Mus musculus: one gene and its partners. The protein of the gene in region 3 purifies or fractionates together with the protein of the main gene of each other region. This does not show direct contact. Links are inferred from orthologs where the notes say so. Each region holds a gene or a part of one and is shown on either strand. Other genes may lie near its edges.

Region 1 (4,327 bases), on a different chromosome or scaffold from region 3:
TCTCACCGCTTGTTGCATTTCCTAAGACTTGTACTAGCAGTAGCTGGTCTTAAAAAGTCACTTAAATAGTAGTGTGAGAGGCCTATGTGTTTATCCAACAAAATGGCATTACCAAGTGAGAGATACTAGCGTGGCCTTCAACATTCCTTGGACTTTCGCAGCAGTAACAGCAATTATCTCCAACTTTCCAAGATTAGTTATCAAGCATGTTCCTTGTTTTTAACTTTTACATTTCTGGGTCATGTCAGTGTTGGAAAGTGCTCAAAATATATACATAAGCAGCACTGCTAAAAATTACATAACATTAAATGTATTGTCTCAGAAGGTCTCACTAATGACACTTTAATTAACGGGTATGCTCAGTAATGCCCCTTGTTTTTAAAACCACTACCAGGTGCTAACAAAACTAGAACTAGGGTAGGAGTTAGAGACCGTCTTCCATCCCAGCATTAACTCGCTCACTACAGGGCTAAGGCCATGAGTAAGAACAGTAGCTCTTGGCCATCTTCCTTTCTAATACTGTATGATCCAGGGGACACATCTGATTGTTAGCATATCTCCTGCCTCCTAATACAAAACTTCTCTGTATTTGAAAGAAAGCTAAGAAACGAGGAAAACTAAAGTTTTAAGTAATGTTAAAAAGTTTAAAGATCTAGCTGGGCGGTGGTGGTGCACGCCTTTGATCCCAGCACTCCAGCACTTGGGAGGCAGAGGCAGGCAGATTTCTGAGTTCGAGGCCAGCCTGGACTACAAAGTGAGTTCCAGGACAGCCAGGGCTATACAGAGAAACCCTGTCTCAGAAAAAAAAAAAAGAAAAAAAAAAAAATTCAAAGATCTAAAGGTGTAATATTCCTTCATGTGATTATATTAATGGCACATACAAGGCACCAGCTCTTTTGGAATTCACACTTCAGTATTACTTGAAATACAATGCATGATGCAAACACAATATAAAGTACTTAAAACTTTTTACAGCCATATTTTCAACAGCAACATACAAACTGCATTAGTACCAGTCAAGCACTCAGGTTTCACCAGTTTAAAGGTCTACACTGAATTATAACTTCAATATAGAATCTCCATTTCTTTCTTACCAAACCTACTGGAAATAAGGTACAGCTGTATAGCTGACACCTAGTTCCCTAGATACTTACACATGGCCCTGAAGCAGGTTTTCTTGATCTGGGGAACTTTAGTTGTTTAGGTTCTGAAACACTTTCCTTCGTGGGGCCAAAATTAACTAAACTACAACACGATTAAGGCAAATCCAACACATCTCCCAGATGCAGTAAACTTGGCATCAGTCAGGACTGGCCACAACACGTGATGGTGTTTGGATACTTCTGTGGAAATTAACTTGTGCACACAACAGGACCAACATCATTTCAGGGCCACAAGCCGTGGGCATCCCCTCGTTGAGTTTTATCACATAAAATTTGAAAGCTAATACGAAAGTTTTATAACAACTACATTTAAGTCAGTATTATTTTAACAGTTGAAGAGAACTTTTCCACTAATGTCGCTAAACCATGGATGGATCCCAACACGAGAGTCGTCTGTGGAAGTCTCGCAACAAGAAACCACCTAAGTTTCCAATCACGGGGAAGGGTCTGGGACAACTCATCTTCATGTTCTCGGGAGGAGTGGACGGAGCACACACCTGCTTTCCTCTGGCAGAGATTAAGCTCCCAGGGACACAAAGGCCAGGGAATCAGACCTGGAGAGGCAAAAAGCTTTAGCTAGATACCCACCAAGCCCCGTGGCCACCCAAACACTTCGAGTGTTTTTTTTTCTTTTTTTTTCTTTTTTTTTTACCTCTTGGAGTTACTTCTCAGGCACTTAGCGGCACAAGATGTTGCAGACCAGTGGGAAGAAGGGGAAGGCTATGCGCTCTGGTCCCAAAGTCAGGGGAGGGGTGTGGACAGTTACCTCCAGGGCCGGGGCTACAGGCCCGGACAGAGTAGCCTAGCCGCGCACGGGGCGCCGCCTGACTGCTCTCGGACCGCCCCCGTTACTCGGGGAGTTACAATGGCGACCGCAGGGCTCCCCGGACCTCCGGGTCTCGGCCCCCTTCCCCCTACCGCTCACTGGCTGCTCCGCTACATGTGACTAAACAAAACCCCCCGAGTCCAGAGCCCGGCTCGGCCCCTTTGTGTCCGCCACCGGATCCGCCGCCGCCGCAGCGGAAAGGCACCCCCCGCCCCGCGCGCCCGCCTCCGAGTCCCGCCCCGCGGCGGCCGCCGCCGCTCACCTAAGGTTCCGCGGCCCCCCGCGACCGCCGCCTCCCGGACCCCGCGGCCCGGGCTCCTTGTGCAGCAGCAACTCCGCCTCCTCGGCAGCAGCCGCCATCTTAGCCTGTGCGGCAAAACGCGTCCTTTCCGAGGGTTGGGAGCCAGCCTAGGGCGTAGCTCCCCGGGCCCGAGCGCCGCGGGCCGGGTCCCCCCACAACTTCTTCCGCCACCCTCAGTCCCGCCACCGCCTCAGCCCGGACGTCCGAAACGCGGCCGGGGCCGGGGCTAATCCGACCGAATAAGACCCCCGAAACTCACAGTTTGGTGCCGTGTGCGTCAAACCGGGGCGACGTTGGGAGCGCGCGGCGTCCCCGCGTCACACGCCGCTCTGTACGCTACTCGGCTCCAACGGCCCCCTCCGCTCCCCGCTTCTCGCCTCCGGCCTCGGTTCCCACGGCGCAGGCGCGCGGCTTTCCCGCCTCTGCCTGGCCGCCGGCCGCCGGGGGAAGCCAGCGAGGCGCGCCCGTGCTCTCGGGCCGCCGGAGCTCCCGTGCCAATCAGACCCACGGGGGGCGGCAGCAACGCTGCACCGCTGCTCTCCCGTGCCAAAACCAAACAAGGTCACCTCCCCCAGCGGTGACCTAACCACTCCGGAGGAGGTTCCCGCCCCAAAGTAGGCACGCTCCAAATATGGTGGCGACCAAACTCTGCAAGACCCAAGTACCAGGAATGCCTAGGCCCTTTAAGGTGGAATAGGCCCATCTCTGGTGTCTGCAATCGCTAGTTTGCCAAAAACCTGTTCCCTTTTCCAGCTGTTGAAAGAACCAGCAACATATATCAGGCCTACCTTGGAGAACTGGCACAGACAGGTTTTATGATGTTAAACAGGCCAGGTGGCAAAAGCATCAGGTATAGAAATTCAGTTACCCAGACAAGACACCCAAAAAGAAGGCCCGGATTTGGGTTCCTTGGACTCTGCAAGGGCAGATTCTGCACTAAGGAACATGCCTTGATTGTCCAAATTGGAGTCATGCAAAGAGACGTCAGAAATGCTGGTTAACTCTTCAGGTAATCAATAGATTCCCCAGAGGGTCTTCTAAATCTCCCTTTTAACAAGCATTCAGCCATGGGCTTCTGAGGGAAGCAGCGCACTAATTAGAGGTATTCGCTTTGCTTTTGAACCGAGTCAACAAGTTCCTAACCTGTTGAAGGTGAGCTAAACGTTCTAGAATACTCTGATGGGCCTGCCTTACTAAATTCTTTGGTTTCGCTGAACTTTTTCTCATGAAAAACTTTAAAACGTTTTTTAGTAGTTAAGCAGTAATCATGAACTATGCACCTCCAAGCCTTCGAGATATTATTAACATTCACAGGAATACACCATAATTACATTTATTTGTCAAGAATGGGAGTATCTTTCCTGAAAAACGGTGCCTTCAGAAGCAGCAAATGTATCCCAAAGAACGAACATTTCACTATCCACTCTAATTATTTCGCTTGCTAGTAACTGCTGACAACTAGAGTTCATGCTGTGTGTGTGTCAGGCATTCTTGTCACCTGTTCAAGTTCATTACAACCTAAAGTGGCAAAGAGAGATTAGACTGTTGAGCTGTTTCAAAATGAAAGCTTTCCTTCATATATACGAATAGATAGATACACAACAAATAAATCTGTGTCCATTTTCAGCCAACTGCTTGGAGGAGATGCACTTTAGAGACTTATTCTCATCTCATGAGTTTGGGTTTTGCTTGAATGTATGGCTGTGCACCGCATGCTTCATGCCTGGTACCACAGAGTCCAAATGAGCCTCAGGAAGGACCTGAAACTGGAGCTGCAAATGACAGGCCATCATGTGGAAATATCACAAGGGACCTGATCCTGAGTCCCCAGCAAGCACATAAGGTACTCTTGGCCAGTGAGCCATGTCTCCTGACCCACCAGGTCTGTTAACCTGCAGAACTCAAAGGCCTATCACCTGGAACCAAGCCTTGCATACTTCAGGGCACATTTCAGATATATAAAATATATCGATGTATGGGATCTCCAGATACTTTGTGTGTGTGTGTGTGTGTATTCAGATTATATAAAGTGTTGAA
Region 2 (3,562 bases), on a different chromosome or scaffold from region 3:
AGTGGTACCTCTTCTCGTAGGGAGAAGAGATTCTCAGCTCCTATTCTAATGCTGTGTTTGTATTTTTGAACTCTACTTAATGTCCTAGGAAGAGGTGTTAAGCAGCATTCTTACATCTGAAGGCTTTCCTAGAAAAGTTTGGTTCTGAAGATAAGGTCTCTAACCTTGGCTGTACTAGAACTTAGAGATCCACTTGTCTCTGCCTCCCTTGCACTGAGATTAAAGGTGTGCACTACCATACCATCTGAGGAGCTTGAAGGGGACACAGGCAACCAAAACTACTTTTGGTTCCAAATAGTTCATGAAAAACTAGAGAAAAGATGATGGTTTATCATGTATATATTTACCTGTTCTTGGTCAGTTCTGAAAGCTGATCTCTATTATCATTGTGCAGTAGTGCACAGTGGCTTCTAAACACTTTGCCCTCTGTCTATAAGGCAGTCATAGTTAACTTCTTAGCTGGATTAAAACAGCTGCAACTTCAAAGGCCATTTACTGGTTGGTTGGTTGGTTGGTTGGTTGGTCGATTTTTTTTTTTTTTTTTTTTTTTTTTGAGATACTTTCTCTATGTAGTCCTGGCTACCCAGAGAAAAGATGTGCACCACCATGCCTGGCTTTTAATTGGCAGTTTGGGGGAGGGAGGGGGAGATGTATAATGAATGTTTTACTTGAGTGGGTGTTTGTGCTCTGTGCATGCTTGGTGCCCTCTGAGGTCAGAAGAAAGCACAAGATGCCCTGGAACTGCACTGTGGATAGTCATAAGCTGCCTTGCAGTTGCTGGGAACCAAACCCAGATCCTCTTTAAATACAACCAGTGCTCAACTACTGAGCCATCTCTCCAGCCTTCATTGACCTTTTGTGAAACTGTTTTGCCAGAGAAGAAACAGAAAGAGACCAATGTTCCCCCCGGAACCTTTTGATCCACAGCGAAGTCTAAATAAATACTGCTGTTAGAGTGAGGAAGAAACTTCTTTTGAGATTTTCTTTTTTCTATGCAAATTGTTGGGTGATGAGAAAGAGAGCTGTTTGCCTTCCGTGTTGGTCATCAAGGTCTGCGTGCATTGCAACAGTGTCACCTGTGAGTTCCTGTGTCTGAAGCCGAGAAGATCCACAAAATGAGGCTTTTCCATAGTTGGTTTGTGTTTTTAACAAGAAAATGGAGAGGCTTTTTGTTTGTTTTTGTTTTTGTTTTTTTGCCTCTGACTTCTCTCTGAAACCAGCCAACAAGTACAACTAGCAATTTTTAAAGATTTAGCAAGAACTTGCACTGAGTTTTCATTTACAGGAGCACAAATAAAAATATTTGATTCAAAAATGCATCTGAGTTCTTTTAATTTTTCCTGCAGGAGAAACCTCTAAAAGTCATTGCCTTGCAGAGTTTCTGGGAATGCCTGGGGGAGGAGCCTGGAACTTGTAACTGCTTGCCTTGAGTGGCCTTCTCACTCTGGTTTCTGTTCTGTTTTGTTTCGTTTGTTTTTTAGGACTATCGGACAAAACCTTTTTGCTGCAGTGCTTGTCCGTTTTCCTCAAAATTCTTCTCTGCCTACAAAAGTCATTTCCGGAATGTCCATAGTGAAGACTTTGAAAATAGGATTCTCCTTAACTGCCCTTACTGTACCTTCAATGCAGATAAAAAGACTTTGGAAACACACATTAAAATATTTCATGCTCCAAACTCCAGCGCACCAAGTAGCAGCCTCAGCACTTTCAAAGATAAAAACAAAAACGATGGCCTTAAACCTAAGCAGGCTGACAATGTAGAGCAAGCCGTGTATTACTGCAAGAAGTGCACTTACCGAGACCCTCTCTACGAGATCGTCAGGAAGCACATCTACAGGGAACATTTTCAACACGTGGCAGCACCCTACATAGCAAAAGCAGGAGAAAAATCACTCAATGGTGCAGTCTCCCTGGGCACAAATGCCCGAGAGGAGTGTAACATCCACTGCAAGCGATGCCTTTTCATGCCCAAGTCCTATGAAGCTTTGGTACAGCATGTCATTGAGGACCATGAACGGATAGGCTATCAGGTCACTGCCATGATCGGACACACAAATGTTGTAGTTCCCCGAGCCAAGCCCTTGATGCTGATAGCTCCCAAACCTCAAGACAAAAAGGGCATGGGACTCCCACCACGAATCAGCTCCCTTGCTTCTGGAAATGTCCGGTCGTTGCCATCACAGCAGATGGTAAACCGATTGTCAATACCAAAGCCCAACTTAAATTCAACGGGAGTCAACATGATGTCCAATGTTCACCTGCAGCAAAACAACTATGGAGTCAAATCTGTGGGCCAGAGCTATGGTGTTGGCCAGTCAGTGAGGCTGGGACTAGGTGGCAATGCTCCAGTTTCCATCCCTCAACAGTCTCAGTCCGTGAAACAGTTACTTCCAAGTGGGAATGGGAGGTCTTTTGGGCTAGGTGCTGAGCAGAGGCCCCCAGCAGCAGCCAGGTACTCCCTGCAGACTGCCAACACCTCTCTACCCCCAGGCCAAGTGAAGTCTCCCTCTGTGTCTCAGTCACAGGCATCTAGAGTATTAGGTCAGTCCAGTTCTAAACCTCCACCAGCCGCCACAGGCCCTCCTCCAAGCAACCACTGTGCCACTCAGAAGTGGAAAATCTGTACAATCTGTAACGAGCTTTTCCCTGAGAATGTCTATAGCGTTCACTTCGAAAAGGAGCATAAAGCTGAGAAAGTCCCAGCCGTAGCTAACTACATTATGAAAATACACAATTTTACTAGCAAATGCCTCTACTGTAATCGCTATTTGCCTACAGATACCCTACTCAACCATATGTTAATTCATGGTCTGTCTTGTCCGTATTGCCGTTCCACCTTCAATGATGTAGAGAAGATGGCAGCACACATGCGAATGGTTCATATTGATGAAGAGATGGGGCCTAAAACGGATTCTACTTTGAGCTTTGATTTGACATTGCAACAGGGCAGTCACACCAACATTCATCTCCTGGTGACCACATACAACCTGAGGGATGCCCCGGCTGAATCAGTTGCTTACCATGCCCAAAATAATGCCCCAGTTCCTCCAAAGCCACAACCAAAAGTTCAGGAAAAAGCAGATGTCCCGGTTAAAAGTTCACCTCAAGCTGCAGTGCCCTATAAAAAAGATGTTGGGAAGACCCTTTGCCCTCTTTGCTTTTCAATACTAAAAGGACCCATATCTGATGCACTTGCACATCATTTACGAGAAAGACACCAAGTTATTCAGACAGTTCATCCGGTTGAGAAAAAGCTAACTTACAAATGTATCCATTGCCTTGGTGTGTATACTAGCAACATGACAGCCTCAACCATCACTCTGCATCTAGTCCACTGCAGGGGTGTTGGAAAAACCCAGAATGGCCAGGACAAGACAAACGCACCTTCTCGGCTCAATCAGTCTCCAGGCCTGGCCCCTGTGAAGCGCACGTATGAGCAGATGGAGTTTCCACTGCTAAAAAAGCGGAAGCTGGAGGAGGATGCTGATTCCCCTAGCTGCTTTGAAGAGAAGCCAGAAGAGCCTGTTGTTTTAGCTTTAGACCCCAAGGGTCATGAAGATGA
Region 3 (4,131 bases):
TTCAGCTTCTCCCAGTGCTGGAATTATAGGTATGCACCACCATGTGTAACTACAGATGCTACTTAAAAATTTTTTAAAGGAATCACAAAAATAACCCCCTATCAAATGCCTAGTCCCTCTAACCATCACCAAGTGAAGGATCACGCAGGAAAAAAAAAATCACCAGCAGCACCTCAGAACCAGGATACTCAGTCCATCAGCATCCAGGGCCATACCCACACTCACAGCATCTCCACAGTTTACCAGATGATTCATGCTTATCACTGTATTGGGTCATCTAAGAGTGACCATCAGGGCTTCTGATCACAGAATCTAGTCCACTTTGCAGACCAGTTGAAGTCATGCACTATATGAGATAGAAATACCCTCTTGCTCATTTTGGTCAGAAATTCAAGGATAAAAACCCATGTTTTGTTAATGCACACCTCCATATGATTGAGATCAATGTGTCCTAATTAATGTAGAAACCACAACTGTAAATTTCACTCTTTTGACATGAATCTTTTTCTAGACAGGGTCTTGGATGCAGCCCCGACTACCCAGAATTTTGGAATCCAGGCTAGCCTCAAACTCAAGGCAATCTGCTTGCTTCAGCTTCTCACAGGCTGGATCACAAACATACACCTTCAGACCCATTTTTTTTTCCTCCCTCCGTTTTTGGTTTCTCTGTGTAGCCCTGGGTGTCCGTGGACTCGCTGTGTAGATCTATCTACCAGCCTCTGTCTTGGAGTACTGGGATTAAAGTTGTGGGCTACCACTGCCTGGCTGACCCAGTTTTATTTATTTTAAATATAACTTGACAAAAATAAATTTGTCTAACTTACTAGAAATCCCAAGAAAACTAACACTGGATTTAGCAACAGTCAGAAATCGCTGAAAAGAAACAGAATTGATCTAACAGTCTTAGATCACTCCTAGACAGTTTGTAATTCTTGCTCATGGCAACGTGAGCTCTATCTAACTCACTCTCTGTGCACTAATGAATGCTCAGTGTCTCCAGAACAGCACAGCTTCCAGGGTAATCATGCCAACCCACAAGACTTTTATAGAGCTGTCCACGACTCTTCCCCCATTCAGCTCATTAACAATATGATGGAGCTCCTGTGTGGAAATCAAGGCACACTCTGGTAGAAACTTGTTTTTTCTTTCCACTTTTCCTTGGGCTCTGAAGATTGAGCTGTTTTATAACCCACAAACATGCATTTTTTACCTCAAAAGCATCCAGCAAAAACTGTACAACGCTTTTTCAAAAAAATGTATTGTGATCCTCCTTAAGAAAAGCCTTACTTAGTGTTAATTCCTTTTTCTTTAGAATGCTGGTAAATACAAGGACTTAGGTAGGCTGGCTTCTAACAGCAATTCACCCACTTATGATGGGATTAAAGGAAGGCACAACCATGTCCACCACAGGTTCTAGCTCCCCCACCCACACGCCCAGAGAGGGTTTTTCTGTGTAGCTCTGACTATTCTGGAATTCACACTGCAGACCAGGCTGGTCTCGAACTCAGAGATCCACCACCACATGGTTTCTTAATTGTAATTTTAAAGAAAAAAAAAAATCCTTCAGTTAAGATTCTTATGTTCTAGGTTTTCACAAACTTACCAATGTAGTTTTATTGGAGGCCATTTTTTAAATTTAATCGGAGACTTGAAGAGCTATTGCAAGAAAAAAAATGTAGGACAGTTAAAATTTCATGACACACAAAAGGCAGCTACAAGTTTTGTGTGGATTTCAACATGTAAATTTCGGGTAAAAATGCAGGAAAACAGTTGAGTTCCCGTGTTATTAGTATGTTACTAATAATTTCAGTATGTTAGTGAAAATAATCTTACTAAAACACTGGTACCTCAGACAACTTTACATGGTGAGGATTGTTACTTTCCCAATCCATATAGAATTTTAACAATTTTAGTGTTTATTTTGGATGAAAGGAAATGACTATCTTTTGTTAGCAAATTACCATAAGATCTTTTTCTTTAGATTTCTGAATACTCCAAGGAGCTCATATAATTCCATCCTTATTTTTTCAGAGGCCCTCCCTGTTCAATCACGGTATAAAAAAAGGAACACATTAAGATGTCCCAGTCCTATTTTCTGGCTTTTTTTTTCCGGGGGTGGTGGTGCGGTAATCACTCTCTATAGTCCAGTCTGGGCTTCAACGCCTGGCAATCCCCAGCCTCAAGCTCCCAAGTACTGTCCTGATAAGGATAGAAGGAGTCGACCTCCTTCACGCTCCCCTCCGAGGAGGGCTCCTTCCCAGCTCCATTCCCCGGTCGGGAGCCCGTCCCCCACCCGAGAGCGCGGGCCTCGTGGTCAGCGCCTCCGCGGGGAGAAACAAAGGCGGCGGCGGGGGCTCAAGGGCACTGCGCCACGGGCCCGCGCCTCCCCCATCCGGCGGCGGCCACGTAGCCGGGAGCGCGCCGCAGCCCGGAGCCTCGGGCCTCGCAGCTGCAGAGCCTGAACCGCTCTCTCCCTGCGGGCCTGCGACGAGGCTGGGGGAGGGGAGGCCCGCGCTTTGTCTGGAGTCTCGGTAGCTGTCATCCGGCTCCCACCCTCATGCACAATTGTCCCATCTCCCCCACGCACCGGCGCGGCGCCCGCCTCAGCGAGGCCCCAGCCGGTTTCCCGCAGCCCGCGGCCCACGGGGCTCGCAGCCTCCCCGCAAGCTCGGACGCACGGAGCATCCTAAACCCCACCACACGCAAGATCGAAAAAAAGCAAAGGCACGAACTTCACCGCTCCGATGCTCAGGGCCGCGGATCCTGCAGAGTCTCCCGCCTGCGCGCTTCGGTTCAGCCACATCCGAGGGGAGGGGGCGCGGGCAGCTCCGCCGGGGGGGAGGGGGAGCACCGCCCACGCCCTGGCCGCGCGGGGCCCGCCGGGAACGCGTCCTGCGGGGGGCGGCGCGCGCAATGCTCACCGTCCGCGGCGTGGCGCCCAGGGGGTCTCCTGGCTGGGGGGAGGGGGGGGAAGGCGGGCAGGAAGGACCGCGGAGGCCTCTCTGCGTCTCGGAGCGCGCCAAAGCGGGGCTCCACCCACCTCCTTGCCCGGATCTTGAAGGCCGGGGAGATAAACAGCGGGGTTCTTTAAGCACCACCTCTCACTAGGCGCGGGATCCCAAGGCTTGTGGCATCCGGGGTGGTACTTGGACTAAAAGTCCTTCTGGGAGGGACCGAGTGAGAACCCCTTTGGGACGTGTAGAAATATTTGTGTGGTTCGAGAATATTTGTGCGGACGGGCTTGGCAAAGGCGTAGCTGCAGAGAGCACGCTTGGGTGGAGAGGGCCGCACGCCCCAGCGCCGGCCTAAGCCCCTCCCGACGGCGTTATTTCAAACTGCGCGACCGTTTCTCCGCTCCCTACGCGGAGGTGGGGGCCGGACCTAGTTCCGGACGTAGTAACACGCCGAGCGCGAGCCTTCCGCAATTCACGGAACACAGTTGCGCAAGTGATGTAAAGCAGTCCCGCTGTACCTAAAGGGGGAGTGTCACGTACTTGGCGTAAGGAGAGTGTAGGCCCTTCCCGCCATTGGCGGCGGTTAGGGCGTTTACGTAACGGCGTGACGTAAGCGGAGACGCGTTAGTGGGGGGAAGGTTCTAGAAAAGCGGCGGTCTCGGCTCCAGCGGCAGTAGCAGCGGCGCCGGTCCCGTGTGCAGGAGCTCCTTTGCGGCCCAGTTTCTTGGCCATCGCCTGCTCTCCCCACAGCGCCAGGACGAGTCCCGTGCGCGTCCGTCCGCGGAGGTCTTTCTCATCTCGCTCGGCTGCGGGAAATCGGGCTGAAGCGACTGAGTCCGCGATGGAGGTAACGGGTTTGAAATCAATGAGTTATTAAAAATGGCATGGCGAGGCCGTAGGCACCGCAATGGAAACCGGCCACCCGCCTCCGTGGTCCGGCGGAGGGGATGCGGCCACTCGAGTGGCGGTTGGCCTTGGCGAGTTTCTGAGGGGTCGTTGGAGGAGGCCTCTGATTGTCCGACCGCCTTCCCCGCCCTCAGCCGCCCGGCGCCATTTCCCTCAGTTGGGGTGGGGGATGGGAAGTGCCCGCCGCGACCGGGCTGGACCGCTAAAGTAGCGCGTGAGCGGGCCATCGCTGGCCTTTCGATGTGCGCGGGCCTAGGGGCTCGGTTGTGTT
Region 4 (3,562 bases), on a different chromosome or scaffold from region 3:
CTGGTAGGGTGGGCAGGACACCGTGTACTCAGAGGTCTGGCCGGCCGTCTGTCCTCCACAGAAAGAGCTGCCAAGTTGGGGTGTTTTGGTTTAAAATTTCTGGTGGGGACAGGAACCCCTGAAGGGAATACATTTAAAAATAGTGGACACAGGGAAGGGGATGAGAGCTGTTGTCCAAGAGCTTCTATGCAAAAATAACAATTAATAAAGAGAAAAGGAAAATAAAGAGTCTTCTCAATGGTTCTGAGGGTTCTAATGATGAACAGAAGGAGGATGCGACGAGAGAGTCGACAGTTTTATTGCTGGCCTGCCCCGCATGGCTTAGCTGGCCTCCATCCGGAGTTTCTTCCTGCTCTGGGGCTCTTCAGGCTCGGATTCTGAGCTGGAGTCTGAACCCCCATCGAAGGCAGAGATGGTGCCGCCCTTGGCGTTGGTGTAGAGGCTGTTGTCTGAGGAGGGGTAGTTGGTCTGCAGTTGGGCACTTGATCTTGCCTTCTCCAGTGCACGGACTAAAAGGCAACCAAGGGAGCATGTTACCACCTTCTGGAGATCCGGAGCAACCAAGTCTCAGACTCAGGGTCCAGCCTGTTCTTCCTAAGGGTTTGCTTGCTGGACCCCAAGGCACAGGGTGGCTCAGAAGTCATTCCCTTCCGGTGGCTGCTCCACCTGCACACTTCCGTCCCCCTTTTCCTTTCCCAGATGGGCTTGGGGGCCCAGCAGACATGGCCAGCCACAGCCATACCACCCTGAAGAGAAGGCTTGTGATGAGACACCGTCCTGCCATGGACCCAGCATAGAGACCAGAGCAAGAGTTCCCTGTTGGACTGAGCAATGCAATGACAGAGAAGAAGCTAGCCTAGCAAAGCTAGGCTCCATGACGGTGTGAAGGCCCAATGATAGCAGGAAAGGATGACACAATAGATTGGGTCAAAGAAAACTTTTGGTTGGCTCTCATGAACAAAATCCACTTGGAATGACAAGCTGGACACTTGGAAGCAAGTCACCAATACACACAAAATACCTGGGCCTTTCAACAGACACCCCTACATGCAGGCTGCTTGGCCCATCATCCAACCCGCTGCCGCCGCCCACTGCCCATCCCTTGGTTGAGCTCGGCTCGAGCCTGGAGGGTCACCCTTCATGTTATTTTATGTGAGATGTTCTAACCCAGGCGGTTACTTGCATTTCCTTTTACTTGCATCTTCCATGAGGGAGGAAGAGAAGTGAATTCCCCAGGAACAAAGAACTTGATCAGCTCTCGCTTTCCCCTGTGGTTGTAGGAAAAGGCGGGTGTGAGCATTGGAGAACAGCAGGGGCCTGGCCCATAGGCTGCCCTGATTGGACTACTATTGACAATGGGGAGGGCTCACTGTCCCTGAACTCCTGGAGAATCTGGTACTTACATGGCACATTCTACAGCAAGGACCTCAAAGCTCTGTTCAGATACCTGACACCAGGTGTGACCCTTACTGTAGGCAGAGAACCTGAGCCCCGAGAAAGGGAGAGGTCAGGCCAGAAAAGATACAAGCCTTCGGATGTCCAATCCCTAGCTCCTCCGTCTCCTCACTGGAGGCTCTAACACTCAACTGCAAGGCCTGCAGAGCCAGGCTGAGCTTGCTTCTGAGGCATAGTCCTCTAGCTTTGACGGAAGCCCAGGTGTGGAAGCCCCCGCCTGGCGGGGCACAGCAGGGCCAGTTGCCCCATGAGCTTGGTTGCTCACCTTGTTGCTCCAGAAGAGCATTCTGCCGCTTGAGGTCATCAATGTCTTGCTGGTGCGTATGGTTTTTCCTTCGCATATACTGGATATACTCTGTTGCTTTGTCTAGGATTTGGGCCCGGGATGCCTGATGCAATATGAGAAAAAAAACAACAACAAAAAAAAACACAGAACAAAATAAAGACCAAGTCTGCATAGTAGGAGAACCATGCCCTTCTTTGGCAACAGCATGAGGGAAAGAAAGGAAACAGGTGGGTGGCCATGATGGAAAAGGCTGAGTAAAAAAGTAAAGGCTAGCTATGGTCTTTATCCCAAAGTGTCAAGCAACTCACAGAACTTACCTACATGGAGTCTCAGGAGCTCTACCAGGAACCCAGGTCTCAGAGAGCCACACTCAATTATTTAAAACCACCAGCTAGTCTGTGGATGGCCTGGGCTTGGAGTCTGTATGACTCTTCAACTTGTACTCCTCTCAGCCCCTCTCTGGATTTTTTTCTTATAGCTTTTATTTATTTGAAACGGGGTTTTAAGGCCAGGCAAGCAGGTCTCCCAAGTATTGGGATTACAGCCACGAGCTACATACACTCTAAACCCTCTGGCTTTTTAAAGTCTTCAGCTTGCCGATGCCTGAGACAGGCTGGTCTTGAACTCACTCTGTGGCTGAGTATGCCACTCCAGCTTTCAAGTGTCGGGATAACTACTCCCAGTTGTATATGGTGCTCTGGATTAAACCCAGGGATTTGTAAATACTAGACACAGTTCAACTGCATCTGAAATAATGAAAGAAAAGCTCAGGCCACAAAGACTCTGCTAGGACAGGCTGTTCAGGATGACAAGACCAAGGGCTGGAGTAGACCTGGCTTGGAATGAAAGTGGGTACATTTTTTTCCATCATGGTCTTAAGACCTCACCAAACCCTTAGACTATTGGTAAGGAGGCTCAAGTGAACAACACTGCTGTTGTATCACCATTTTTGCCTCCTGTCTAAAGAGATTAGCATGAAAGCTGTAAGTACTTGATGTCAACACCGGAAGGATAAGTAATTGAGACATCCCAGGAAATAGCCACACCTCTACAACTATAGCAGGCTGTGTGGGCCTGGCTCATCAGGGAACCACGTTAATAAATAAGTCAACAAAGCAGCAACAGGTTAGTGTTTACTATGCTCCTAGCATCCATCACACTTGTTGGAAGATTTCTAACAGGCTACATACATGGCCAGAGGTAGAGGCAGGGCACCAGCTCTACACATCAACTGCTACACATATAAGCTCAAGGCAGGGCAGCACAGTAGCCCAGAGTCTAGTGCTCCTTCCAGAGTCTGAGCACTCAAAAGCTTTGCCCTCAAAAGGATCATTACTGACAATTCTGCTTCTCAGCCTAGTGCTCCAAAACAACCAGAAAAAAGTGACGGGAAGGCAAAGAACACACCAGTCTTCAAACTAGCAAATCTCAATTTACCATACTAAAAATCCTAATGACCAACTTACAGACCTTAGGACAGATGGAGTGAGGTGTACAAGGCCTGAACTTCTACCGTCTTTGGGAATATTACACTTTCCAGGCTTTCTTCTCATAGTGCCCTCAAAGTGATCTGCTCAAGACATCATTCATAGTCAACCATTATCTGGTAAGAGTTATATACAAGGCACAGTGTGGGGAAACAAAATATATTAGTCACAGCTTCTTTACCCATAAGCTTACTTACTGTCTAGTGAGAAGATAAGTATTATCTCTATGCAGACAAGCCACAGGCAGTGCTGACAAGTGTACTGACTAACAGATTATAAATGTCACTCAACAGGCAGCTTCTGGGAGTGACAACCCACCGTGTGGTAGACAATG
Region 5 (4,232 bases), on a different chromosome or scaffold from region 3:
ACTCCTGCATAAATTAGCATTTCCTAAGGAGATCCTTTCATTGCTTTGGTATCACGCCCGTGTAAGGATAGTTCTGATAACTATGTCCTTTATTACTTTATCGTTTATATAATTACATCACTCCCTTTCCCATCCTCCCCAAACCCTCCCATAGTCCACTCCTTGCTCTTCCAAACTCATAGCACTTTTCATAAACTGTTGTATGTATATATATTCCTAAATACAACGTGATCGGTTTGCATGTTGCCTTATGTATGTTTTCAGGACTGACCACTTGTTATGAATAACCAATCAGTATGCTCTTCCCTGAGGAGAACTATGTCTCCCACCCCCTCAGTAGCCTGTGGAGGCCTTACCTCCCCAGCCCCGCACCAATCCACTTTAGCATGTCCAGTGTTGTCCTTGCTCAGTTCATGTTTAGGTAGTCAGGAAGAAACGTAAAGGACTGGGGACATGGCTCAGTGTTTAAGTTCATGTACTGACTGCCCTTGGAGAGAACCCAAGTCTGGTTCCCAGCAGCAATGATTGTTGGCTAACAGCCATTATTTCCAGGGGACCCAGCCTGGCCTTCTCCCCTCTCCAAGCACCTGCACTCATGCGCACATACCAATACACAGGCACACATATACATTTTTTTTAAATGACCAGATAATCCCTTTAAGACACAAAACATTTTTGTTCCTATACAATCTGGGTTTTGCTTTAGTTTTTGTTTGTTTGTTGTTTTAGGTTTTTGTTTGTTGTTCTGGGTTTTTGTTTGGTTGGTTTTTGGTTTTTCCAGACAGCACTGGTGACCCTAGAACTCACTCTGCAGACCAGGCTGGCCTCAAACTCCGGGATCCACCTGCCTCTGCCTCCTGAGTGCTGGGATTAAAGGCATGTGCCACCATGCCCAGCAAGATCTGATTTTTAAAATGGTCAATCTCCAGTGGCAACACAGCAAGGGTCACAGCACAGGTCCTGGGGCTTTTTCGTGGATGAAACCAACTCAAGCACTTTATAGTTGAGTAAACCTAGCCAACCACTGAATCTCTCTGGGCCTCAGTTGCCTGCATCTGTGAAACAATGCAAGGAATTTACTTCATGAGCAGTTGTCGAGATGACAACACTGGAAAAGCACTACACGTATCATCAGGAGTTTAGAATAATGTAAATCAAAAACTCAGCGAGATGCCCCAACTACTAGGACTTTCTTTTAGCAACTTCCAAACACTGTAATCCAGAAAGTCTGCTTCAACCCACAGGAAAACCCCTTTCTAGCCACCTGACCTTCATCAATCTGCTTTCTCTAAATAGCAGGTCAGCAAGGATTTGGGTGCAGTATGGAAAAGCTAAGCCCTACCTTTCAACCACCAATGGAGCAACAGTACACTGAAAACCTGATTTCAAATGAAAACGGTATCGGCAAATCCCAAGCTAAAAACTGTATTAACTGTTATCCCCTCAGGCCAATGACCCAGACCTCTCTTCCTCCCATTTCTCAACGAGATGCCTAAAATAGCCTGAAATGACTTCATTTCCTGCCTATCCTAAGTACAAATTTGTGCTTAAGGACCTTTACCTAAGGACCACTGTGTCAACGCTTTTTTTCTGAGCAGGGCCTCCATCTACCCAAGACATCGCTATGTGGCCAATATCACCACCACCTGTGATAGCCCTAGGCAATACGCCTAACTATCAACCAGAGCTTAACATCGCACTTTCCATAACTTCTTACACATGCTGTCCCCTATTTCCACAGCAGACTGGACCAGTCCAAGCCCCGAACTAGCAAAACACTTCAGGTAAAGGTTCTGTCGGTACTAATGTACACTAATGTACCAGGTTGGTTACTTCTTCGGGAGTGATCGCTCTTCCTAATCGCATTAACTTTAAGCACCACACTCACACGAGTTTTGGTTCAAAGTCAAGCATACTTAAAAATTTATATCTTGTTTTACAACACTACACCAACTCAAACCTTTGTAGAAATTGTGCGAATAGAACCTATTTTGATCCCTCTAAAATGGCAGATGCAAAGTTAAATTTCACGTTCAGCATCTGCGCATCGGTCACGATCGCCGCAGTATCAGGGATGAAGAGGCAGGGGTTTGCCCTCGGCAGTGCTTGAAACCAAGCCTCTCCTTCGGAAGAAAACTCGGCGCTTCAGAAGCGGCCACAAGCTTGCCCTGCATCCCGCCATCCTCCACAACGGGATGATCTTCAGGCTTCAGCTTCATTCCCGGGACGCCGCAGAGGGGCGCCCTGCCCGCGACCGCAGAGCCTCCCCGCGCCTCCCGGTAGTGTCCGCTCCCACCCTCCCTCGGCTCCCAACCACTCTCTCTCGCCACGCCCGGCGTCCCGTCCCTGCCCCGCCCCCTCTCCCCATCCATCCCCGCTCTGTTCCCCGTGCCCGGACTCCACGGGTCCCCCTTCCCTGCTCCGTCCTCCCCTCCGTCCTCCCCGTCCCCTGTCCCCGCCCTTCCCCCCCCCCCAGAACGGCCCCACTCCCACGTGACCCGCGAGCGGGCGCGGAGGGGACCCGAGCCGCGCACTAGAAGGTCCGGGATTCCGAAGGCGCGGAGGTAGCGACGGCGCGACAGGCCACAGTGGGGACAGCGCAGCGGACAGCGCTAGGGACGTCGGGGCGGACCCAGGAGTGGACGGCGGGTGGGTCGCGGGGAGGGTCGGGGGGTCGGCGCAGGCCTGGCGGGCGTACCTACCGCGGGGCGCGAGGAGCGCCGCGTCCCGCCGCCGTCGCAACACCGCCGCGTCCTCCGCCTACGCGGCGGGACCCCCGCCCCGCGCCCGTCCCTCCTCCCGCGCGCCAGAAAGAGAAGATGGCGCTCAGCTGCCTCAGGAAGTGACGTCGCCTCATTTGCATGCCGACGAGGCCAGCCAATGGGTGTAGAGTGTGCCTGGGGACCCCCTGGGCTCTTTTCCCGGGCCCCTCAGGGCCCCTGGAGCCCCCAGGCCTCGAGGCTGTGGAGGGGGTGGGGCCTACCGCAGCCCCCTCCCCTGGACCCCCTGGGTCTAGAGCCTTCGCCCCCTCTGGGCAAGCTCTCGAGAGAGAGTTTAAGGAGGTGGTGACGTCATTGAAGGGGTGGGGCGAGGCCGTCATCGACCACATGACCAATCACATGAGTCCACCAGAGCTCTGACTTCTTTTGCATGGAATGGGGGTGGAGCCAGTGGAAGCCAAGTGGGTGGCCCCGCCCATACCTACAAGCCAATAAGAAGCCAGCCCTGAGGATACTGGCTTGCTATTGGAGGATAGGACTTAAACTCTAGGAACTTGGACCAGTGTGCCTATGATTGACAGATCTTGGTGAGCCAACCGGATAGGATCTCCTGAGTCATCATTCTTGTTAAGAAAATTTGTGTCACACCTTTTGAGAATTTTTGAGAATTAAAGTTACATCCATACCACCCTGTGAGAGAAGAGAGCTAATTGCATGTATTTGCATAATGGTAGAATGTTTCTCAAGTTGGATTGTACATGGAAAAGGAGCTTTCAAATTGTTTTCTGAGTCTTCAACCATGGAGAGGCCAACCCCACCCCACCCCTACAGAAAGCCTGTCTGCTCTAGATGCAGCAAGAGGCTCAGCAGGGACTTTTGGAGAAGACAAATAGAAATACTCTAAAATGTGTTGCAGTCCTTTTAACAGGCCTGTCTTCTATCCCCGCCCCTTATGGATCCCAGACATTTCCCAGTCTGACAACCACTGCCCTCATCAACCCTGTTTCCACAGAAGGTCCATAAAACCAAACCAAGACTTGGGCTCCATCAACTGCCATCACCATGTCTAGGTTCTATCCAGGCTGATGGTGTGCACCGTGTTTGCTCTACCCTATCTGAAACCTTATCCTCCTGCCTCAACGTCACCATTTTCTAGTCTGTCTTTTGTTCAGTTTGGTCCAGTTACTAGAAATAATAGACACTCAGTAAGTGACCATATCAGTTTTAAGTGTGTCCAATGTTGAGCTGGTGATACTGACCACAACCTTTTATTTCCTACATGAAGACAAGTCATAACTGAAATAGAGCTGGCCTGTCCTATTTAGTCATAAGTTGTAGCTTAATTTGATTGTGAAATTACAGCAGCAAGTGAGCGTGCTGTTCCTACCCATCTCCCTGGAGAAATCGTGGGTGAGATGAAAAGTTAGCTACAGCCTTATGTCTCATCTCACTTCTTCCCATTTCTCAAAGTCTCTGTCCTTTCTTCTCACCTGCCCTTGACTCCTCAACTTC
Region 6 (4,040 bases), on a different chromosome or scaffold from region 3:
AGTGGGCTCCTCTAACTATCCTGCTACTACTTCTGTGGCATCAGTAACTGTTTATGGTTGGGCACTCTACCTGTTGCCATCTTTTACTTCCACTCTTAGGCACAAAGTATCAACTTGGTAACTAGTTTTGTATTTCTAGGTGGAAACAAACATGCATTGGAGGATTCATTCTGCCTCTTGTTCTCTGAGAAAGCCACTTTATTTCCCTCCCTGTAAAATGGAAATAAGAGGGTCAATTCATTCTATTTCCCCCCAGGAAGAATCAGAGGAGAAAAATCCTCTTTGCAAACAGATGTGGGGTTGGTGGAGAAGAGGGTCCCCTGCCAGTGTAGTATCTGTCTTTCTCTCTCTCTCTCTCTCTCTCTCTCTCTACACACACACTCACACCAGACTTACACGGATCTTCTTATAATCACACAGGTATTCAACTTCAAAGTCATACAGATTCTTCTTAGAAACACCAAGGGCAGGACAAGAAAGCTTGGCTAGTCGGCACAGGTCCTGCAGTTGATTCCAAGAAGATTTACAGCACACACTGCAACCTAGAATGAGAAGGCCAAAGACTCACAAAAATGTAATCGACGGGCCTTACCCAAAGCTAAGATCCTCTGCAACAGGAAGTGCCAATTCCTTGAACCCTAATGCTCAATTCTCAGGGCAACACCTGGAAATAAGCCTACACACCAGGAAGCATCAACCTGTCTTTCCCTGCACATGGAAGGGTCCAGTTCTCCTATCAGAGGACCTATGCCCTCATCTGGGAGAATCTTCTACTCCAAACTCTGGCCCCCTAACTCTGGAATGGCAAGGATGAAGTGGCGCTTGTAGCAATGGGCCCGTCCATAAAGGGATCCACTGGCAGAACATCCAAGGCCTTAAGCTGCCTGCAGACTTACCTTCGGTCAGAGCCTTAAGCAATGCTCTTTGCACTTTGCAAAAGACTGGGGTGCGTTAACTAAGAGAGTCAGGGTAGGACAAAAATCCCTAGGGCAACAAACAGAGGTGTTGCTATAAAGTCTTCACTTATCTGAAACTCCTGGGCCACTGGATTTTGGAATTCAAACATTTGGGAATTTTACACAAGTAATTTTAGGCGAATTCCTGGCATAGGACATTAAGCCATCTATACTCAAAACACATTAACAGCAAACACATCTATAGCAAAAGCCTTGATTTTTCACATTAAATATTCTCACTGAATAATTTCACTTTTAAAAATCCCTTGCCATGATTAGTGACACATTTAAGAAAGACTTTTATTTCAAAGGACTTTAGGTTTTGTAATTATAAAGATTGTAGAAAGATATTACATTAAACTGGGCATAGTGGTGCATACCTTTAGACCCAGGAAAGGCAGAGACAAGCTGATCTCTGAGTTCTAGGACAGCCGTAGTCTGTCTCAAGGAAAAAAAAAATCCCTGTCTCGGGGGTGAAAAGTACAACTCAATTCGAAGGGATCTGCTCTCAATTCAGGAACATGTAAACAATACATGTGGTAGGTAAGCCCCGACAATGACTCTTGGTCACCAAAATTATTGTTCAAGAGAAGCGGATTTAAAGTATACACATTTTTTTGCTTCAGAGCACATCCCTTCTTCAACGTAATTTTAGAAGCCATTTTTAAAAAATCAAAATATGTCACAAAACCACTTGATGCTAGGTGTATGCTGTCAGTAGCCAATGCCATCTTTTAAGGATGGTTTTTTTCTCCTCCCATCATACGACTCAAATCTAAAACAATCCTAATAAGATGCTCTAGATGGTAACCTAAGAACACACAAACACTTCAAAAGAAAAAAAGATCACTGCGTACATATACACTGATCCTTTTTTATCCAAGGCCCAGCAGAGACTAATCCCTCTCCTCCGAGGCCTCTCGGTTCCCGGAGCCTCTAACCTGCGTCTGGAACGCCTTTGAAAGCCCCAAGAAGTGGCCTGCAAATACCATTTGCAGTGCCAGCAGCCGCACTCCTCCCCACCGCAGCTCCGGCTCACACTTGTGGAATCTCTTCTCAGCGCTCTACTCGAGGCCGAGGAGCCCGCCCAGCACGCACAAGTCACCCCTCTTTTCCTGCACATGGAGGAGCCGAGCCCTCCTCTCACCGAGGCCCCCCCACCAAGTCCCGCTTTCCGGGGAGACTCGTCTACCCGAAAACCCTGCCCCCATCTCGCCTCGATCCCTTTCCCACCTAGAGTCGCCGGCTCCCCCATTTTGAGAAGGGGGTCCGTTCCACTTCTTCCTCCCCTTCCGGCGTCTCCCGTGGAAACCGAAAGGGTAACGGTCACTGAGAGCCGCCTTTTCCCGCGCGTGGCCGCAACCTTCTCCTTCAGGACTCTCTCTCACGCGCGTAGGCGCGCCGGCCAGCCGCGCGCGGCCGAGAAACCCCGCGCGCGGCCTGCGCAGCCCCGCGCCCCCCGCGGCCGAAGCACGCGCCCCCTCCCCTCAGCCCCGCCCTGCCCGCGCGCCGGGCCCGCGCTCTCGGCCCCCACGTTTGCCGCGCCGGCCTTCCAGCTCCAGGCTCCGTAGCTCCGGACGCCTGGCCTGGAGCCCCGGCCACCTTCCCTCCATTCTACTCGGCCGGGCCAGTAGCTCGCGTCTCTAGCACCACAGCTTCACCTTTTAAATTTTCCGCCATCTTTCTCCACAGCTAACAACATTCGGGCCTAACCGGCCTCGCGAGAAGAGAGCGCGCGCGGGCGTGGCCGGGGACGCGCAGTCGATTGGCCGCTCCTCGCCGCTCGCAGCTCCGGCTCGGACCAACCGCGGAGCTGTGCCTGGACTCCTCCCGTCACCAGGAGTGGTCTCGAGAGCCCGTGCTCGCTGCCTTTATTCAGAGTGCGCCTGCGCAGTAGCAAAGCTTGCCTTTGCTCCAGGACCCGCCCCTTGTCAGTCATATTGCTAGCCAATCGCGGCGTCAGCCAGTCATAAAGGGCTTGTTTTGTGCAACCCCAATTCTGCCAGTCATTTATTTTAACCTCGCGCAGGCATTCACTGCCAGGGTGGACCTAGAGCCATATATATAGGTGCTCAGCCAGTCACCTGATTGAAATAAATAATAAGTCGGTCGCCGCCATCAGATGTCCGTTTCCATCACTCGCTTCTTCATTCACACTCAGTCAATAGTAGCATCCATCTGTGCCCTGCAGCCGTCTGAGTTCATAGAAGCACAACCCTTGTCAGGCAGCCTGCTATTCCCTCAAACTGTCCCCATCACATTGTTAGCCAGGCAGCCCTTTCTCCATCTTCCTTGAAGGAGACGTCTCAAACTCCAATGGCCACCCATGTCCCGAAGTGGACTGGGATTAGGTCAGGACAAATTATTGTCAGCACCCATGTAAGAGCCACACCCAGCGACAAAGTGCTGGAGGAGGGAGACAGGAGCCCCAAGCTTGCTCTTAGAGGACAGAACCCATTCCTGTAAGCTGTCCTCTGTTCACACCTGCACTTTGGTAGGTGTATACACACATACCCCAAATAAATTTAATATTAAAAAAAATACAATGAGATCAATCAAGGATGATGCTTACCATTGACCTTTGACCTACATATGTGTCTGCATACACACATACACACACCCAATAAATGTAATAAGAATTAAAAAGAAAATGGATCACAATCAAGGGAGATGCCTGCTGTTGACCTCTAGCCTACATATGTGTATGCACACGTACACAGTCCACAGTAACACGCACATATACCAGAAGAGTTAGAAAGAGCCAGGATTTCGCAAAGTGCAATTATTACAGATTTACAGACGTATTCATATCTCTAGTGTCAACAAGACATGAGAAACCCTATACTGCACAGCAGGAGGACAGAGTTACGTGCTACACAAACTTCAATGTGGCCCATCAATTATTTTTCTAAATCCATTTCACTAAATATCAGCTTAAAGTAATTTGGGCATCAGTAGTTATCATGAAATGCTTCCCTGACTTATCTTTTTTTTTTTTTTAGATTTTCTTTTTTTTTCCTTTTTTTAAAAATTGGTTATTTTATGTATTTACATTTCAAATGTTAAACCTTTTCCCTATTTTCC
Region 7 (3,562 bases), on a different chromosome or scaffold from region 3:
GATACTAAGAGAAGTAAAGTGGCTGACTCTTGGTCTCTGTGTGCTGGAGGAGGCAGGCAATAGAGCCACTCAAAGGAGTGCCTACGGTCATTTCCACAGAAGCCAGCAGGTGGAGACAGTTCACTGTAGACCTGGATCCCCAACTTCCCAGCAGGCCATCTCCACCCTAGTCTCCCATCCCTGGATTCTGTCTCACCATCTTGTCCAGTGGGTGTCCCATCTGCTAGTTGTCCTGTTCCCTGGGCATGGAGAAAGGCTCCAATTTTGGCAGACCAGGCTGCCTTGTGCAGGACTTTGGCTTTCTTGGTGGGTGGCTTTCCCTGCAGGGCAAAAAAAAAAAAAAAAACGAACTGTCGACTATGAACTTGAATCTGTTTCTATTTTGCTTTGTTATTTCTTTTGAGATACGGTGGCCTAAATTTGCAGCTATTGTGCTCAGCCTCCTGAGTGCTAGGGTCCCAGGCATAAGCCACCATGCCAAGTAAGGAACTCCTGAGGGTGAGCTCCTGGTGCAGCTATCTAACCTCTGGGCTTGAGTTTCCTCTGTAAACATAATGATGAATGAGAACACTCAGGAGACACCTGCAGAAGGCTGGGGTCAGCAGAGCTGCAGCTGACAGACACATGTCACTCAGGCCTCTGAGCTCTCCCTAACATCTCACTGCAGTCACTGCCCTCCCTCCATGCTCCCGGCTCATGGAGAGCTAAGCTGAGTGACTGAGGGAGAGCCGGAGACAACATCCTGTACGTGTAAATGCTCTGGAGAGAACATACAGAGGGCCTCTCCTGGGCATCTCAGGGAACACTCACGTCCACACCTATAAGACAACTAAGCTCCAATGATAAAGGCCAAGGCCAGGAGTCAAGGCAACACACCAGCCAAGTGGAGGCACAGCTGCGTAAAGTCTGACCTTAAGGAAGTGAGTCTCAACCCCTTTGATTGAATATGCGACCCTTTCAAAGAGGTCATATATCGGATATCCTGTGAATCAGATACTTACATTATGATTCAAAACAGTAGTAAGATTACAGTTATGAAATGAAGTAGCAGTGAAAATAATTTTACGGCTGGGGCCACCACAGCCTGAGGAACTAACTGTATTAAAGGGTCACAGCATTAGGAAACTCGAGAACCACTGCCTTAAAAGACACCAAAAGCTTTGGCCTTTTAAAACAGGAATTGCTGGGCGTGGGAGGGCACACCTTTAACCCAGCAGTGAGGAGGCACAGGTAGCCAGCTCTTTGTGAGTCTGAGACCAGTCTGGTCAGCCAGAGTCACACAGTGAAACCTTGTCTCAAAAATAATGTAAGGGGCCTAGTAAGACGGCTACTGCTTAGAGCACTGGCTGCTCTTCCAGCCGATCCAAGCTCAGTTCCTAGCACCCACATGGTGGCTTACAACTGCCTCCAACTTGACAGGGGACTTGACACCCTCTATTGGTCTTCTCAGACACTGTACGCATGTAGTGCATAGGCATTTATTCAGGCAAAACACTCATACACACAAAAATGAATAAAACATAAATAAATAAATATGGGCCACTCTTTGAGGGAGGGTCTCATGTACCTCAGATGACCTCTAGGAATAAGTCCCCCAAGCTGGCTAAGCCGTTCACCTCCAGTCACATGATGGCTCCAGCCCAGCATCCAGGCCCCAGGATGGGTGTCAGGGGCTCTTCTCACCTGTAGTCTAGCCAGGATACTGGCTTTCTTGGAGTTGGAGGAGTAGCTCCTGGAACACGAGACGCTGCAGAACCTCTTGGTCTTTGAGAAGAAAGCTTCTCTTGTGCCCACGATACCACACATCTCACAGACAGCTAGGAAGAGAACTCAGCATGTGACTCCCTGACATAACTGCTTTAAGTCAAGCAAAACCTTCCAGAGCACTGCATCAACCATGTGAGTGTCAGGCTCTGAGGCTGACAGAGAGGAGGGCGTGAGCAGTGGATGGAGTTCTCTTCCAAGAGCAAGTCTCAGTATGTGCTGCCCTCAAACTTGCAGGCTCAACTGACCCTCCACCATCAGCCTCGCCAGCAGCAGAACTCCAAGTGTCTGCCCCTCCACCTAGGCACCTCCGTAGGCTCTGTACCTAGAGCTGAGGCTAAGGGACTGGAGATCCACATGAACGAGTTTTAGAGAGAGGAGCGTGACCAGAGGGCAGGTGTGCTGTCTGACCTCACACTAGATCACCTGAGGAGCCTTCTGTATACTGCTGAGGCTGGAGACTGCCATGCCCTGGGCTCCAGGGACACAGCCATCTGAAGGGCTTCCCAGATGGGCTTTCCAGCTCCCCAGATGACGCTAATCTACAGCCCGGGTTATAAACCAGCCCCTGGGGTCAGATGCTCTCCCTAATGATTCCTGCTAGTCTTGACGCTCTCAGATTCTGAGAGAAGGGTGAGAAGAAGACAGAGGAAGAAAGAGGAAAAAGAGGAAAAGGACACGAAAAGGAGAAGTCAACATGGGTGGAAGGAAAGCTGGCCACACGGCCCGGCCCAAGAGTGCCGGTGTGAAGGGATGGGAGGGGGTGGGACAGTCCTAAGATTGGAGCCTGCCTCTTCTCAAGGACACACGGCCCACACTCTGGCCGCCCTCACACAGGGTCTAGCAGCCATCCAAGTGCTACCTCTTTGAAGTCAGCTGGCTTCCAGATGATTCAGGGCCACGCCCTTCTGCCCACCTCCGTGCCTCCCTCTCTGTGCCTCCCTCTGACCTGAAGACCACTTTATCCTGTACACCTCCTACCCCACACTTGTCAGCCCACAAGCTATTTCCTGTTCCTCTGTTCAAAAGCACTCACACCACTGAGTCTCACTGTCTTCATACCCAGACTCAGGGACTGCCCAGCCTAGTCATACAAATGTAATAGAATTTAACAAGTGCCAAATAAACTCAAGAGGCTTTGGAGAATAAGACTTTAAAACTAGACTGCAGAGAGGAAACGACCCTCAAGGACAGTGCCTTAGACATCTGGCTGTCTCCACCCACATCCTCAATTCTTCCACAGCCTCCTCCTGCCTCCTCTCCATCTCAGGCCACTGGGAAAGCACCTGGCTCAGAACCACTTCCATCCAAGGAGCGGTTGTTCGCAGAGCTGAACAGATGGAGAGGTGAGGTGGGCAGCTCCCCTGCTTCCCGGTCCTCGTTCTCTGCTTCACTTGACTCCTCCAAGTAGGAGCTGCTCTCGCTGCCCGCACTGCTGTTGTAACTCCGGAAGCTGTCGTAGCCCCCAAAGAGATCCAAGTCATCTTCCTCCTCCTCTTCCATTGGCTCTGAAGATGGCGCCTCCTAGTGGGAAAACGACAAGAACGAGAAGTTACAAACTGGCTAATCCATCCAGCATGAGTTGGGGATTTGAATGTTGGTCCTCTGAAAGAGCAGCAAGAACTCTTAACTGAGCTGGGGGTGGGGGGCTGGCACGCCCCTTTAATCCCAGCAGTGAGGAGGCAGAGGCAGGTGGATCTCTGTGAGTTTGAGGCCAGCCTGGTCTAGGACAGCCAAGGCTACACAAAGAAATCATGGCATGAAAAACCAATATACGGGGCTGGTGAGATGGCTCAGT

Evidence for each region.
Region 1: the proteins of Cbx3 (region 3) and Zfp644 purify together in Homo sapiens (affinity purification with mass spectrometry; 3 studies listed by BioGRID and IntAct, with this or other methods). This does not show direct contact. The link is inferred for Mus musculus from reciprocal best matches to the Homo sapiens genes CBX3 and ZNF644.
Region 2: the proteins of Cbx3 (region 3) and Adnp purify together in Homo sapiens (affinity purification with mass spectrometry; 7 studies listed by BioGRID and IntAct, with this or other methods). This does not show direct contact. The link is inferred for Mus musculus from reciprocal best matches to the Homo sapiens genes CBX3 and ADNP.
Region 4: the proteins of Cbx3 (region 3) and Max purify together in Homo sapiens (affinity purification with mass spectrometry; 3 studies listed by BioGRID and IntAct, with this or other methods). This does not show direct contact. The link is inferred for Mus musculus from reciprocal best matches to the Homo sapiens genes CBX3 and MAX.
Region 5: the proteins of Cbx3 (region 3) and Adnp2 purify together in Homo sapiens (affinity purification with mass spectrometry; 3 studies listed by BioGRID and IntAct, with this or other methods). This does not show direct contact. The link is inferred for Mus musculus from reciprocal best matches to the Homo sapiens genes CBX3 and ADNP2.
Region 6: the proteins of Cbx3 (region 3) and Suv39h1 purify together in Homo sapiens (affinity purification with mass spectrometry; 3 studies listed by BioGRID and IntAct, with this or other methods). This does not show direct contact. The link is inferred for Mus musculus from reciprocal best matches to the Homo sapiens genes CBX3 and SUV39H1.
Region 7: the proteins of Cbx3 (region 3) and L3mbtl2 purify together in Homo sapiens (affinity purification with mass spectrometry; 5 studies listed by BioGRID and IntAct, with this or other methods). This does not show direct contact. The link is inferred for Mus musculus from reciprocal best matches to the Homo sapiens genes CBX3 and L3MBTL2.

The regions. Positions count from the first base shown.
Region 1 is NC_000071.6:106,693,983-106,698,309, forward strand, and holds the start of Zfp644 (zinc finger protein 644), read right to left. Parts: upstream 2,849-4,327; 5' UTR 2,550-2,848; exon of another isoform or gene 2,252-2,549; intron 2,237-2,251; exon of another isoform or gene 1,816-2,236; intron 1,718-1,815; 5' UTR 1,661-1,717; exon of another isoform or gene 1,155-1,660; intron 1-1,154.
Region 2 is NC_000068.7:168,183,092-168,186,653, reverse strand, and holds part of Adnp (activity-dependent neuroprotector homeobox protein), read left to right. Parts: intron 1-1,481; coding exon 1,482-3,562.
Region 3 is NC_000072.6:51,469,341-51,473,471, reverse strand, and holds the start of Cbx3 (chromobox protein homolog 3), read right to left. Parts: upstream 2,857-4,131; 5' UTR 2,733-2,856; intron 2,221-2,732; exon of another isoform or gene 1,962-2,220; intron 1,657-1,961; 5' UTR 1,628-1,656; coding exon 1,604-1,627; intron 1-1,603. Other genes in the region: Hnrnpa2b1 (heterogeneous nuclear ribonucleoproteins A2/B1), read left to right, coding at 3,796-3,801.
Region 4 is NC_000078.6:76,938,247-76,941,808, forward strand, and holds part of Max (protein max), read right to left. Parts: intron 1,845-3,562; coding exon 1,721-1,844; intron 1,269-1,720; coding exon of another isoform or gene 1,184-1,268; exon of another isoform or gene 923-1,183; intron 510-922; coding exon 322-509; 3' UTR 1-321. UniProt on the Homo sapiens protein: Transcription regulator. Forms a sequence-specific DNA-binding protein complex with MYC or MAD which recognizes the core sequence 5'-CAC[GA]TG-3'. The MYC:MAX complex is a transcriptional activator, whereas the MAD:MAX complex is a repressor.
Region 5 is NC_000084.6:80,148,664-80,152,895, forward strand, and holds the start of Adnp2 (activity-dependent neuroprotector homeobox protein 2), read right to left. Parts: upstream 2,820-4,232; 5' UTR 2,703-2,819; exon of another isoform or gene 2,699-2,702; intron 1-2,698. UniProt on the Homo sapiens protein: May be involved in transcriptional regulation. May play a role in neuronal function; perhaps involved in protection of brain tissues from oxidative stress. May be involved in erythroid differentiation.
Region 6 is NC_000086.7:8,071,927-8,075,966, forward strand, and holds the start of Suv39h1 (histone-lysine N-methyltransferase SUV39H1), read right to left. Parts: upstream 2,835-4,040; 5' UTR 2,637-2,834; coding exon 2,618-2,636; exon of another isoform or gene 2,212-2,617; coding exon of another isoform or gene 2,190-2,211; intron 543-2,189; coding exon 397-542; intron 1-396. UniProt on the Homo sapiens protein: Histone methyltransferase that specifically trimethylates 'Lys-9' of histone H3 using monomethylated H3 'Lys-9' as substrate. Also weakly methylates histone H1 (in vitro).
Region 7 is NC_000081.6:81,666,885-81,670,446, reverse strand, and holds part of L3mbtl2 (lethal(3)malignant brain tumor-like protein 2), read right to left. Parts: intron 3,289-3,562; coding exon 3,051-3,288; intron 1,818-3,050; coding exon 1,684-1,817; intron 321-1,683; coding exon 197-320; intron 1-196. UniProt on the Homo sapiens protein: Putative Polycomb group (PcG) protein. PcG proteins maintain the transcriptionally repressive state of genes, probably via a modification of chromatin, rendering it heritably changed in its expressibility.